Linked DNA regions of Caenorhabditis elegans. The protein of the gene in region 1 interacts with the protein of each later gene in a biochemical or structural test. Each region holds a gene or a part of one and is shown on either strand. Other genes may lie near its edges.

Region 1 (5,069 bases):
TTATCTGAAAATTGACTAATCCGTCAATGCATAATTATAGTAAATATGTCATTTTGAACATTAATTCGGATAGAATGAAATTTAGAAAAGAAGTGTCTTTTCTTTTCCGACACATCCAATACGAACAGATATTATATAACGAGGTCCCCCTAGTCATATTACATGCAAGACTAATCGATAGGAAATAGTGTAGCAAGTAGCTGGTACTATTCATGGATCTATTTTTCATCACCATTATATAATCGTAATACATACATACATGCATATATACATGATCACGAATCTTAGTTGACATTAAATTATCACGACTTATTTAGAAATACTGTCTATGATAAATAGTTTTAACAAGTATTCTCCTACAAAATCATTAAATATAACCCTAAATTCAAAATAAACCACTACTATTATACCTCTTCCACATAATCCACTGATATTATCAAACAAGTTGCCCTCTTGACAATAAACTCTCGAACGCCAACTGTTTCGAATGTTTTGTCGTCGGCTGGATGCCACAATTGCTTCTTTTCGGGGATAAGAAGAAGAGCATATACACACAAGTAGTATTGGATTCTAATGTCAGGATTTCAAAAACTGAGACTCTGATCATTGACCGACTTTTGGGAATCTGAGATAAAAAAAAAGAACAATAACAAAAAAAAGTTTAAGGGAAGTAAATGCGTTTCTATGGATAGTGGGTAGGGCTGTACAAATCGGCGTCCGGTCGTCCGATTTTGACACCACCGGACGCACATGCGTCCGGTTGGGGGTAGCTATCCACGACGGCCGACAACTTCCGAGTTTCGCCACTCACTATACTTAATCAGCAATTTTATAGTGAGTGGCGAAATTCGGAAATTGTCGGCCGTCGTGGATAGCTACCCCCAACCGGACGCATGTGCGTCCGGTTCGAACTTCGGACGACCGGACGTCCGGTTGTACAGCCCTAATAGTGGGTAAAGAGAAATGGAAAAATATGGGAATGTATGAAAATTGGAAAGATGAAATGTGGTACTTCTTATTGTAAAATTAGACACTAATCAAATTCCGGAGAACAAAGCTATGTAACATGGCACTGTAAAAACTGAGCTTGTCATATTTTTTAAAATTCAGTTTTGATTGTTCAGTTTTCTTTAAAAATTCATTCATGAATAGTTACAGTAATAGGATATCTTATATCACGTGTGCATTAGTGTTGCAACCCTTTCCATAAAGTTTCAAGGTTCTTAAAAAAAGGTTCAACTGGAAAAAAACCATACTTGTAGCATACTCTTTCGTAGTGTAATATTACTAGGGAAGCCCAGATTTATGATATCTGTTCATATTGGATGTATGGTGAAAGGCAATATGATTTCGTTATGTTAGGCTTGAAGGCTTGTTAATAGGCTTTAAAAAAGGCTACCAGTAATGTTAATGTTAAGGTTGAAGCCTTGTTAGGCCTCGAAAATGAGACACTTATTTTTTAATTTTAACTCCATTAATGTTCAAATTTAAGGATGTCCTTAAAAATGTAACTAATTTTAATGACACCATTACTTTAATAATTTATTAAAGTTTTAGTCAATCTTGAGTTAAATTTTCGAAAATTTTGCAGCAATTTGATTTTACATCACTTATGGTTATTATTACTAACAGTCTAGATATATAAGAAATATCGTTACTATTTGTACGATAACGTAATTAACAATCAAATTGATAATCGTTTCAATTTTTTAATGTAAAGAGGCTCAGAACGGCTTTTGCCACGTCATCAAGCGACCACGCGAATATCGGTCCTGGAACACCATACCACCTTACTAATTATGTGGTTTTTTTTTAAAGTTTTGTTCCTTTTTCCATTCCACGAGAAACCCTTCTTCTCCCCAATCATCATCTTTTCCATCTGCCATCGGCTCTTGCTCTTCTCCCCACAATTCCCGTTGCTCCGTGTGTGCTGTAATATGCTCCAGGGGGGTGGGTGGGCAGGGATCCCATAGGCATAGGTCTCCACGAAATCAATACTATCTAATCATCTGCCACACCCCCGTCTGATGTTGTGGAGGAAGTGAGAAGAGAGAAGAAGAAGAAGAAGAAGCGGGGGCTCGTGTGGGAGGAGTCTCGTGAAGACGGGAACCTGAAGCTAACGGGAGAAGAAGAATCATTCTCCCCTCCAATTTGAATCGTCGATACTCCGTGTGTTTCAACACAACAACAAACTACCAAAAATGGACGCCATTAAGAAGAAGATGCAGGCCATGAAGATCGAGAAGGTTTCCACACTTTTTTTAAATTTTAATACTGTTTTATAGTGAATTTCTTCAACTTTTTCAATTTTAAAATTAGTAGTGGTCATATACATTCCAATATTTTGAATTTTTCCTCAAAACCATATACACATATTCTAGGACAACGCTCTCGATCGTGCCGATGCCGCTGAAGAGAAAGTCCGTCAGATCACCGAGAAGCTCGAAAGAGTCGAGGAAGAGCTCAGAGACACCCAGAAGAAGATGACTCAGACCGGAGACGATTTGGACAAGGCTCAGGTATGGGTTTAAGCCAGAATTTAGGCTCTTTGCGTATATTTTATCGATTTTAAGACCCCATATAAACTGGCTTCCTAAATTTTCGCTTAGATCTTGGTTTGATAAGACTTTAAGCTATCAGATTTTTACCAGGAAGCTTAAAAATTCATGAAAATCGCAGGAGTTTCTAGAAGTTCCAAAATATTGTCTAGCTTCTACTTTGATACCATATATAATTAGCGTATTATTAATACCTACTTTCTCAACTTAAAGCCGCTATCCCGGAAGATTTTGGCCTGAAACTGAGCAAAGTTCTGAAAAGCAGAAGTTGAGCTCTAAATTTCCTAATTTTTTGGAATCAAGCTTTTACAATACCTTATATATAGCGAATTTTGATTACAGTCCGATTTCAGAAAACAAAATTTTTTAGAGACACTGGCGCTCAAGTAACCTATAAAATCTTAAAGTATAACTAAAAATCACCCTAAAAACAAAATTCGAAATTCATAGTGCAGGGTGCTCAATTTGTAACTTTTAGCCCTAAAAATTTAACCTGGAATCTAAAATTTACCTAGGACACCACTAGAAATCAAATTCGAAGCTCATGGTGCATCGTCCACCTAGGTCTACCTGTCTCCCTGGGCTTATGCTCCTAAGCTGAAACACTTAGGCTTAAGCTAAGCTAAAAGAATAAGCTCAAAATCAAACTTCCATTTTTCAGGAGGACCTCTCCGCCGCCACCTCCAAGCTCGAGGAGAAGGAGAAGACCGTTCAAGAGGTGAGTCGACTTTCTTTTTAAAGCCCAATCCGGGCAGCTTTTGGTTTCTAAACCGACTTCAGGTATTTCCAATTCCCAATCCACAAGCACAACGACCAGGTTTGTGGCGCGATGTTCAAAGTCAATTAATCCGTTAATTAGTCAGTGAGTAGTTGGAATGAAGAGAGAGAGATACATACATATATACAGCTAGTTTTCCATTCCTGTCCTTTTGGGCATGAAAATGAGTGAGAGAGGGTGACGTTGATGATGATCCGCGGTTTTTTTCTCTTTTCCACCCTCTTTCTCTCACTTCCCATAGGCTTCTTCCCCCACCGGGGTAGCTATTGTTTTGTGTGTGTGTGTGTGTCTTCTTTTTTCAATAATGTTCATATATATATATATATATTGTTTCTTCAAATGTTTGGTATACATTGTACTGTATTCAATCATGATTCACTTTTTTCATTCCGTCGAGAGTCAGAGATAGGGTACTGTAGAAATCCTTCTTTCCCGAAAAAGACTTGATCAGGGTGTGGCTGTTATCTAGTTAGCATGTTATATAACATTATGTAATGATGTTCAAACCAGATTGGCATCACTTTTAGCTCGGTTTTCCAGATTTCCCAATTTTGTAAGTTGTCATTATACTGTTTTATTGAAAACTGATTGTGAGCAAAAAGTGTTGTCAATTTATGTAATTCCCTTTAGTCATTGCTATACGTTCTTGAAAAAATTTTGTTGGCTTAAAACATTCTTAAGCTCCGGCCTTAGCCAAATTTTGCAAGGCTACTTTTCAATATTTCGGAAAATTCTAAGTGGTGCCATGTGATATTTAATTTTCTAGCTTAACAAGCTATTAGTTTTCAAGTACTGATCCTAAAAATTTAAAGCTTAGAGCAGTGGCATTTTTTTTGGAATTTCACTAGTCTGGCGGTAACTTTAAGCGAATGTGATCTATTAACACGTGGTGCCAGGTTGTCTCATTGAAGTTTGATCTACAAAAAATGTGGGAATTTTTAGTCAGCACATTCTTAGCCATGCGAAATCAGTTAAGAACTGTGCGTCTCTTCTCCCGCATTTATGTAGATCAAACCGAAGTGAGCCACTCTGACACCACGTGTAATATAATAATCCAGCAGAATTCAAATTCCTCGTGGTGATTTTTCATGCATTACTTTTCATAGTCTTCGAAAAAAATGCTCAATATTTCCAACTTCGGAGTATTTCAAGTGTATGTTAAGCCTATTTTGAATCCCACGCATCACCGAATTTATCTAGATTCCTAGAATATCTACAGTGCATTTTTTTCCACTTCTCCAACTTTAAAGGAGGGCGCATTTATACGAAATGGTCCCGCCACGCGGCCCAAAAATCAATGCGTGGCGGGACCATTTCGTGTAAGTGCGCCCTCCTTTAAAGCGGTAGAAGTGGAAAAATATCAGTGATTTTTAGGAAAAAAACCTTTTTTTGTCGAGAACTTTTTTCCCTCTCCCGACGTTTTTTTTGCACACAACTTGGCGCGCCGAAATCCAATTTCTTTGCGAAAAGCTCAATCCCATTTTCCGTTACTGCTCAAATGAGCGAGAGGCGAAGAAGAAGAAGAAGATAAAGTTCGAGGAGTGTATGAAGTGCTGTTGGGGGCTTCCTTCCCCTGCCTGCGCCATTGTCTAATCTCTAAGTCTCTCTAGCTTCTCTCTCTCTCTCAATTTCTTCTCTTCCAACTGATTACAACGAGATGTTTGCTTTACAACAACTCCTCCCCGCCAATAGGCTCCCGAGGGCTCACTGAGCATCAACGGGCGGCGCGGCGG
Region 2 (5,340 bases), on another chromosome or scaffold:
CAGTTAAATTCGGTATTTTCAAACTATTTTCTGTTATTTAGAGCAACAAAAACCACCGACGCTACTCCACAATTAAAAAATACATTAATTAAAAGGGAAAATAATTCTTAAACTAACTATTTCCAGGAATCTGCATTCTCCCCGTCGACTTCTATCCCATCATGCTCAACTGGTCGTGCTCCTCCTCCAACTTCACCTGAAGACGAAGCCCCTTCGACTTCCGAAAGTCTACAAAATCCAATTCCATACCACATCAATATTGAGCGATCACGAAACAAGAGGAAGAAAAAGTCGAAAAAAGAAAAACCGAAGAAGAAAAAACCGCCAACAAAAAAGGAGGAAGGTATTGAGAAACCAGAACTTGTCAAGAAGAAGAAGAATCGGCGGAGGAAGAGGAAGAAAATGTGCCGAAAACTTGCCAAGTACATTCCAGGAGGCCAGGTTCGAAGATTTTTCGAGACGATTCAAGTTTTTTCGTTGAAAAAGTATCTGGAAATGAAGCGACAATGGCAAGAGTTGATCAGGCTGGAACAAGAACGAATGAGAGAAGATCAAGCTATTGAAGTTCCCGATATGGAGTTTTAATTTAAAAATGTATTTTCTAATAATTATTGTAAAATCCCCACACATGCCATTTCCCTGTTAAAATTTCAAGAAAAAAACCACGGTTCAATCTCTAGATCTACATCAATCAATTTTTATGAACTATTCATCCCGATTTTTTTGTATAATATATTGTTTTTTGATTTATTCTTGTTGTTTCAGAGCACAATTTTTAGACAAAAAATACAGGAACAAGAAAGCAAATGGATAGGGCGATGGATATGCGAAGGTGAAATTTTTATAAAGAAGGAGAATTTTTTAGGATGGGAAGGGATTGATCGAGTTGAATTTGACGAGACGTTTCCAGGGGGTGCCAGTTATCCGAAATTTTCAATGATTTTATTGGAAATTACTTAGCCCACGCGGCTTTCTCCTTCTTCTCAGTGTCTTCCTCATCGAGTGCGAATTCGTTCTTGTCGACAACCTTGAGTTGAGCACGGAAATCGACTTTGGTGGCTTCCTTCTTCTTAAGCTTGTCGAATTTTCCCTCGGTCTTGGACACCTTCTTCAGGGTTGGCTTCACGCTGGAAATTTTAAATTTTTATTTTTTGGATGAAACTTTAATTTTTTGCCGTTTCAACATTCGGTCCTGTCGAGACCGGGATTGATATGTATTTTGCGTTAAAAATTGTAAATTTTCGCATCTGGGTATCATATGAACATTCGCTCTATGAAGCTAAAAATGAACTGTATACTCCCGTGTACTGTAGCTGAAAAGTTTGCGTTCGTGTCAGGACCCGAAATTGGTGAAGCTAACAGTTCTCAAAATTTTCTACAATATCAATATTTTTTGATTTGGTGTCATTTTCGTAATTAATTTTCCTATTTCCATTTGAAAAAATTTCCCGTTTCAAGATAGTAATATCAAAAATGGCGAAAAGTATTTTCTCAGTGCCATCCAATAATTATGTGGTTAAAATGAATACCCCCAAAAACTCAAAAAATATAAAAAACGAACAATTTTCCGCGAAGATCGTTGACAGCAATGGTCAACTCGTTGATCTCGAAATCCTTTTGACGAACGATGTAGCTGACGTCATAGTTTTCAGACTCAAGATCGATGAGTCTCTCGCGGATTTCATCGTAGACTGCCTCGAGGTCATCTGGAAAATTTAATAAAGATAAAACTCATGTAGGTAACCGCCCGGAATTATGAAGTTTTTACAGAGTTTTAACACTTTTTAAAGTAGTCTATTAGATTTAAAAAATTCAAGTTTTTATTTAAAAATTTTACTGTTTCGTATTTTCTATTTAACCAAACGTATTTTGGAGAGGTATTGACATCCTAGCAAAATGTTCTTTAATTACTAAATTAAGTGTTTTGTTCTATATTTTCATACATAATTGCATTTTACTGATATCCAAAAGTAGCATAAAATAGTTGTTTTCATCTTCAGAACACTTACCTTCGTTATCCAAATCTGGAAGTGGAATGATTCTTTCTTGAAGAATACGTTGTCTCTCTTGCTCTTTCAACATTTGTTGTTGCTTCAAATCTTCGGCGGCCTTCATCATCAAAAGCTTACGAAGCTTCTTCTTTCTCTCAGGTGTCAAGAATCCTTTCTTGGCTTTCTTCATTCTTGAGGCCTCCTCGAGACGCTTACGCACCTCTTCCTTCTTGCGCTCGCGCTCCGCCATTTTGCGCGCCTAGAAATGTGAATTTGAGGTACGGAAATGGGAATATGGCGGTTACGGTAACTCAATATTTGAACTGAAGACGAAACATGACAAGGGTGAACCAAAAATATTTTGCAGAACAAAAAATCCTTAATATTAAAAATATACTTACTGAGTATTTAAAATCTTTATGGGGTCTTGTAACGGCAGCTTTTATGTAATTCGCTTTTCAACTAAGTAAAAGACATTATAAACAGTTTCAACAAGTATATGAATCATTTACAATCACTATACATCAAAAAGGTGAACAATTTTTTATTTATTTTAAAGTTACTGTTTCAAAAAAACTATAACCAAAAATGTTTCTAACTATAAACACTATGTTTTTATATAAATAATATGAACATATACAGTCGCGCCAAAGCAATCGCTTCGTCTTAGTAAGTAAGGTCTTAGTAAGATCTTGCTTGTTCACAAACACGTTTTTTTTAAATTTTACTAATTTTTTATACCAAAGCTCACAATTTTCAAACTAGTCGAATAAATATATATATATATATATATATATTGTTTCAACGAGCCCACAAATTACAGTCACATTATAGTAAACGAATGCATTGTTTCCCACTAATTCATTTCTATTTCAAAAACTGTTACAGTTTCAGATTGTTGTTAATTTATGAATTAAAACAGTTTCATGTTTATTGAAGGGTTTATCCCAAAAACACTGGAAATATTTTCATTTTTACAAGTAAAAACTATCTCAAATTTTCTTTCAGATTTCAAGAAAAAATATAAAATAACTCAATAAAAACCATTTCCAACAAAAAAACCAAATCTGTACTTAAAATTTTCAACTGTCTAGACTTACTTCTGCATCCATATGTGGGGGATAAGGCTGGAAACTTTTTTTGGTTTACCAAAAAGTTTACAAAATTACTGTTTCATGTGTTTTACAAATTCAAATCAATTTTTATCTTTGCAATGAAATAAAACCACGACTCACCTCATCAGCGTCAACGTCACTCATGGTTATTGGTTATCACCTGAAATAATTTAATACGTAATTTAAAGAAGATCCCAATCAGAACAAGATCTACGAGATGAATCATTGATTGCTGTGAAACGGTAAAAGTTGGGTTGAGACAAAGAAAAGATAACGAAAAAGTGTGGGGGACACGGCGAAAATGCCAAGAAATTTGCTCGGAGAAACTGAATTGGCTCGGCTTTTCCCGATTGCCTGGTAAGTGTGTTTTCGAAATAGCACGGAAAATGAAGAGACGAGAGGAAGATATTTGCGAAAGGGGGATCCCGGCGCCTCCCACCACCTCCTCTTCAGTTACAGTAACATGGAAATAGTATGGATTATTGAGAGATTTAGAGCATCACGGGAAGAAGCGGGTGCTTGAGAATATCCTCAGTCTGTTGCAGTCAAGGGAATTGTTGGAAAAAAAAATGGAAGGGATTGGAGTTGAAGTGAGAAAAAATTATATTAAAAATGGTTGCTGCTTTGGTTCTTGAATAGAAGTAGATAATTTTATGAGAACTGAAACATTTTTAAAGGCAAATGATTATTTTCTTATGGGTATAATAATCATAAGCTTGTTTAAAACTGAAAACTAATAGTAAAAAATTTGAATTTCCAAGGTTCCTAGAAAAACTTCTAGTTTTTGCTGAAAAAGCCTGACACTGAAAAGTAAATTTTCAGACCAAAAAAAGTATCAAGACAATATTTCTACTGAAAGAAACTAAATTTTTAGCATTTCAAAATGATAACTTCGTTACTATGATAAATTAACTTGCTTTAAAAAATTTCCTATTATTTTATCGAAGAAACAGTAAATTATTTAAATTCTATCAGGACAACAACAAGCTTAAAATGGGAACTGTGAATCATGATTGGAAATCGCCTGTTATTTTTATACCAGTAAAATGTATGTTCAGTTGATTCCACGTAGGCAGAAAAATATCTGCCTGCCTGCCTTATGACTGTGCCTACCGCCAATCAGCTGCTGAATTTTTGACAACATAGAAAGCTTCACATGTGAGCTTTGTAGCTTTCAGATTGCTACTTTTTTAATTGAAGGCAATCAATTTTGGTACTCGTTTTAATTAATGCTTCAATAAGTCATTAACTGCTGTAGGAGATTTAAAATTATGATGAAAATAAAAAAAATACCGGAAAATAAATTCAGTTTCTCTAACAAGTTTTATCTTACTATTAGAAACTAGTTTGAAATCAAATATGATTTGAGGCTCAAAAATATTTTTTGTTACAACACGACTTGAAGGTACAAGTTTCCGTAAAAAATATGATAAGTTGTCCAAAGGTTTCAAATACATTTTTTTTGCAGTTCTCACTGTTCACAGTAATCAAAAAAATATACGATTATGTTTAATAAATACAATTGCAAATTTTGTTGAATTCAAAAAATTTGCGCGTTTAAATAGTACTATAGACCCCACCCCTGTCGTTGCCAATTTTTCTTCGATTTTTAAACCTTGACTTGTAAAAAATTCCATAATTTGGGAACTTCAGTAAGACTGGGCACCGTATTTTAATAAGAAAATTCAAAACTGGGTAGCAGATGATTGTCCGGAAAGTTTTAATGAAGTTTCGCTGAAAGATTTAAACACTTATATCGCCTTGATGAAACCGTAATTGTTGGTATATGTTCCCACGGTAACATATTTTTCATTTTTCAAATGGCTCCACCTGCCTTCTGCCTACCACGCACTTTTGCCTCTATCTCGTAGCGCAAGATAGCCCACGTTTTGTCTGATATAATCATAGGGTTTGGGGGATAGAAAGAGAGAAAGGGAAAACTTCTCAAGAGTTGTCATTTTGTGCGCGAGCTTGTTTGATTACTATCTCTCTCTTTTCCCATTTTAAAGCTACAGAAATCCGGCTATTTTCTCTGCGTCTATATGCTACTATGATGGGAGAGAAGAGCTTTATGAAGGTGGGGGTGGAACAAAGTACTCATCATCATGCGGGTTTCTTTAGAGACAATCTTTTTTGTTAAAAAGGAGGGGTGAAATGTTGCATTTTCAAGTGAACCTATAAGTCATATTCATCGTATTACCGGGATACGATAACATCGGAAAATTGTGAAATAC

Evidence for each region.
Region 2: the proteins of lev-11 (region 1) and tni-4 interact in far-western blotting, tested with the Caenorhabditis elegans proteins (one study listed by BioGRID).

Annotation. Positions count from the first base shown.
Region 1 is NC_003279.8:14,628,092-14,633,160, reverse strand, and holds the start of lev-11 (Tropomyosin isoforms a/b/d/f), read left to right. Parts: upstream 1-2,066; 5' UTR 2,067-2,201; coding exon 2,202-2,246; intron 2,247-2,381; coding exon 2,382-2,519; intron 2,520-3,219; coding exon 3,220-3,276; intron 3,277-5,069. UniProt on the Caenorhabditis elegans protein: Tropomyosin, in association with the troponin complex, plays a central role in the calcium dependent regulation of muscle contraction. Involved in muscle actin filament organization and muscle arm extension and morphology.
Region 2 is NC_003282.8:5,202,517-5,207,856, reverse strand, and holds tni-4 (Troponin I 4), read right to left. Parts: upstream 3,267-5,340; 5' UTR 3,251-3,266; coding exon 3,227-3,250; exon of another isoform or gene 3,206-3,226; intron 2,943-3,205; exon of another isoform or gene 2,922-2,942; intron 2,855-2,921; exon of another isoform or gene 2,834-2,854; intron 2,284-2,833; exon of another isoform or gene 2,263-2,283; intron 2,251-2,262; coding exon 2,010-2,250; intron 1,903-2,009; exon of another isoform or gene 1,881-1,902; intron 1,707-1,880; coding exon 1,562-1,706; intron 1,517-1,561; exon of another isoform or gene 1,496-1,516; intron 1,128-1,495; coding exon 953-1,127; 3' UTR 733-952; downstream 1-732. Other genes in the region: Y59E9AL.36 (RRM domain-containing protein), read left to right, coding at 127-585. UniProt on the Caenorhabditis elegans protein: Troponin I is the inhibitory subunit of troponin, the thin filament regulatory complex which confers calcium-sensitivity to muscle actomyosin ATPase activity.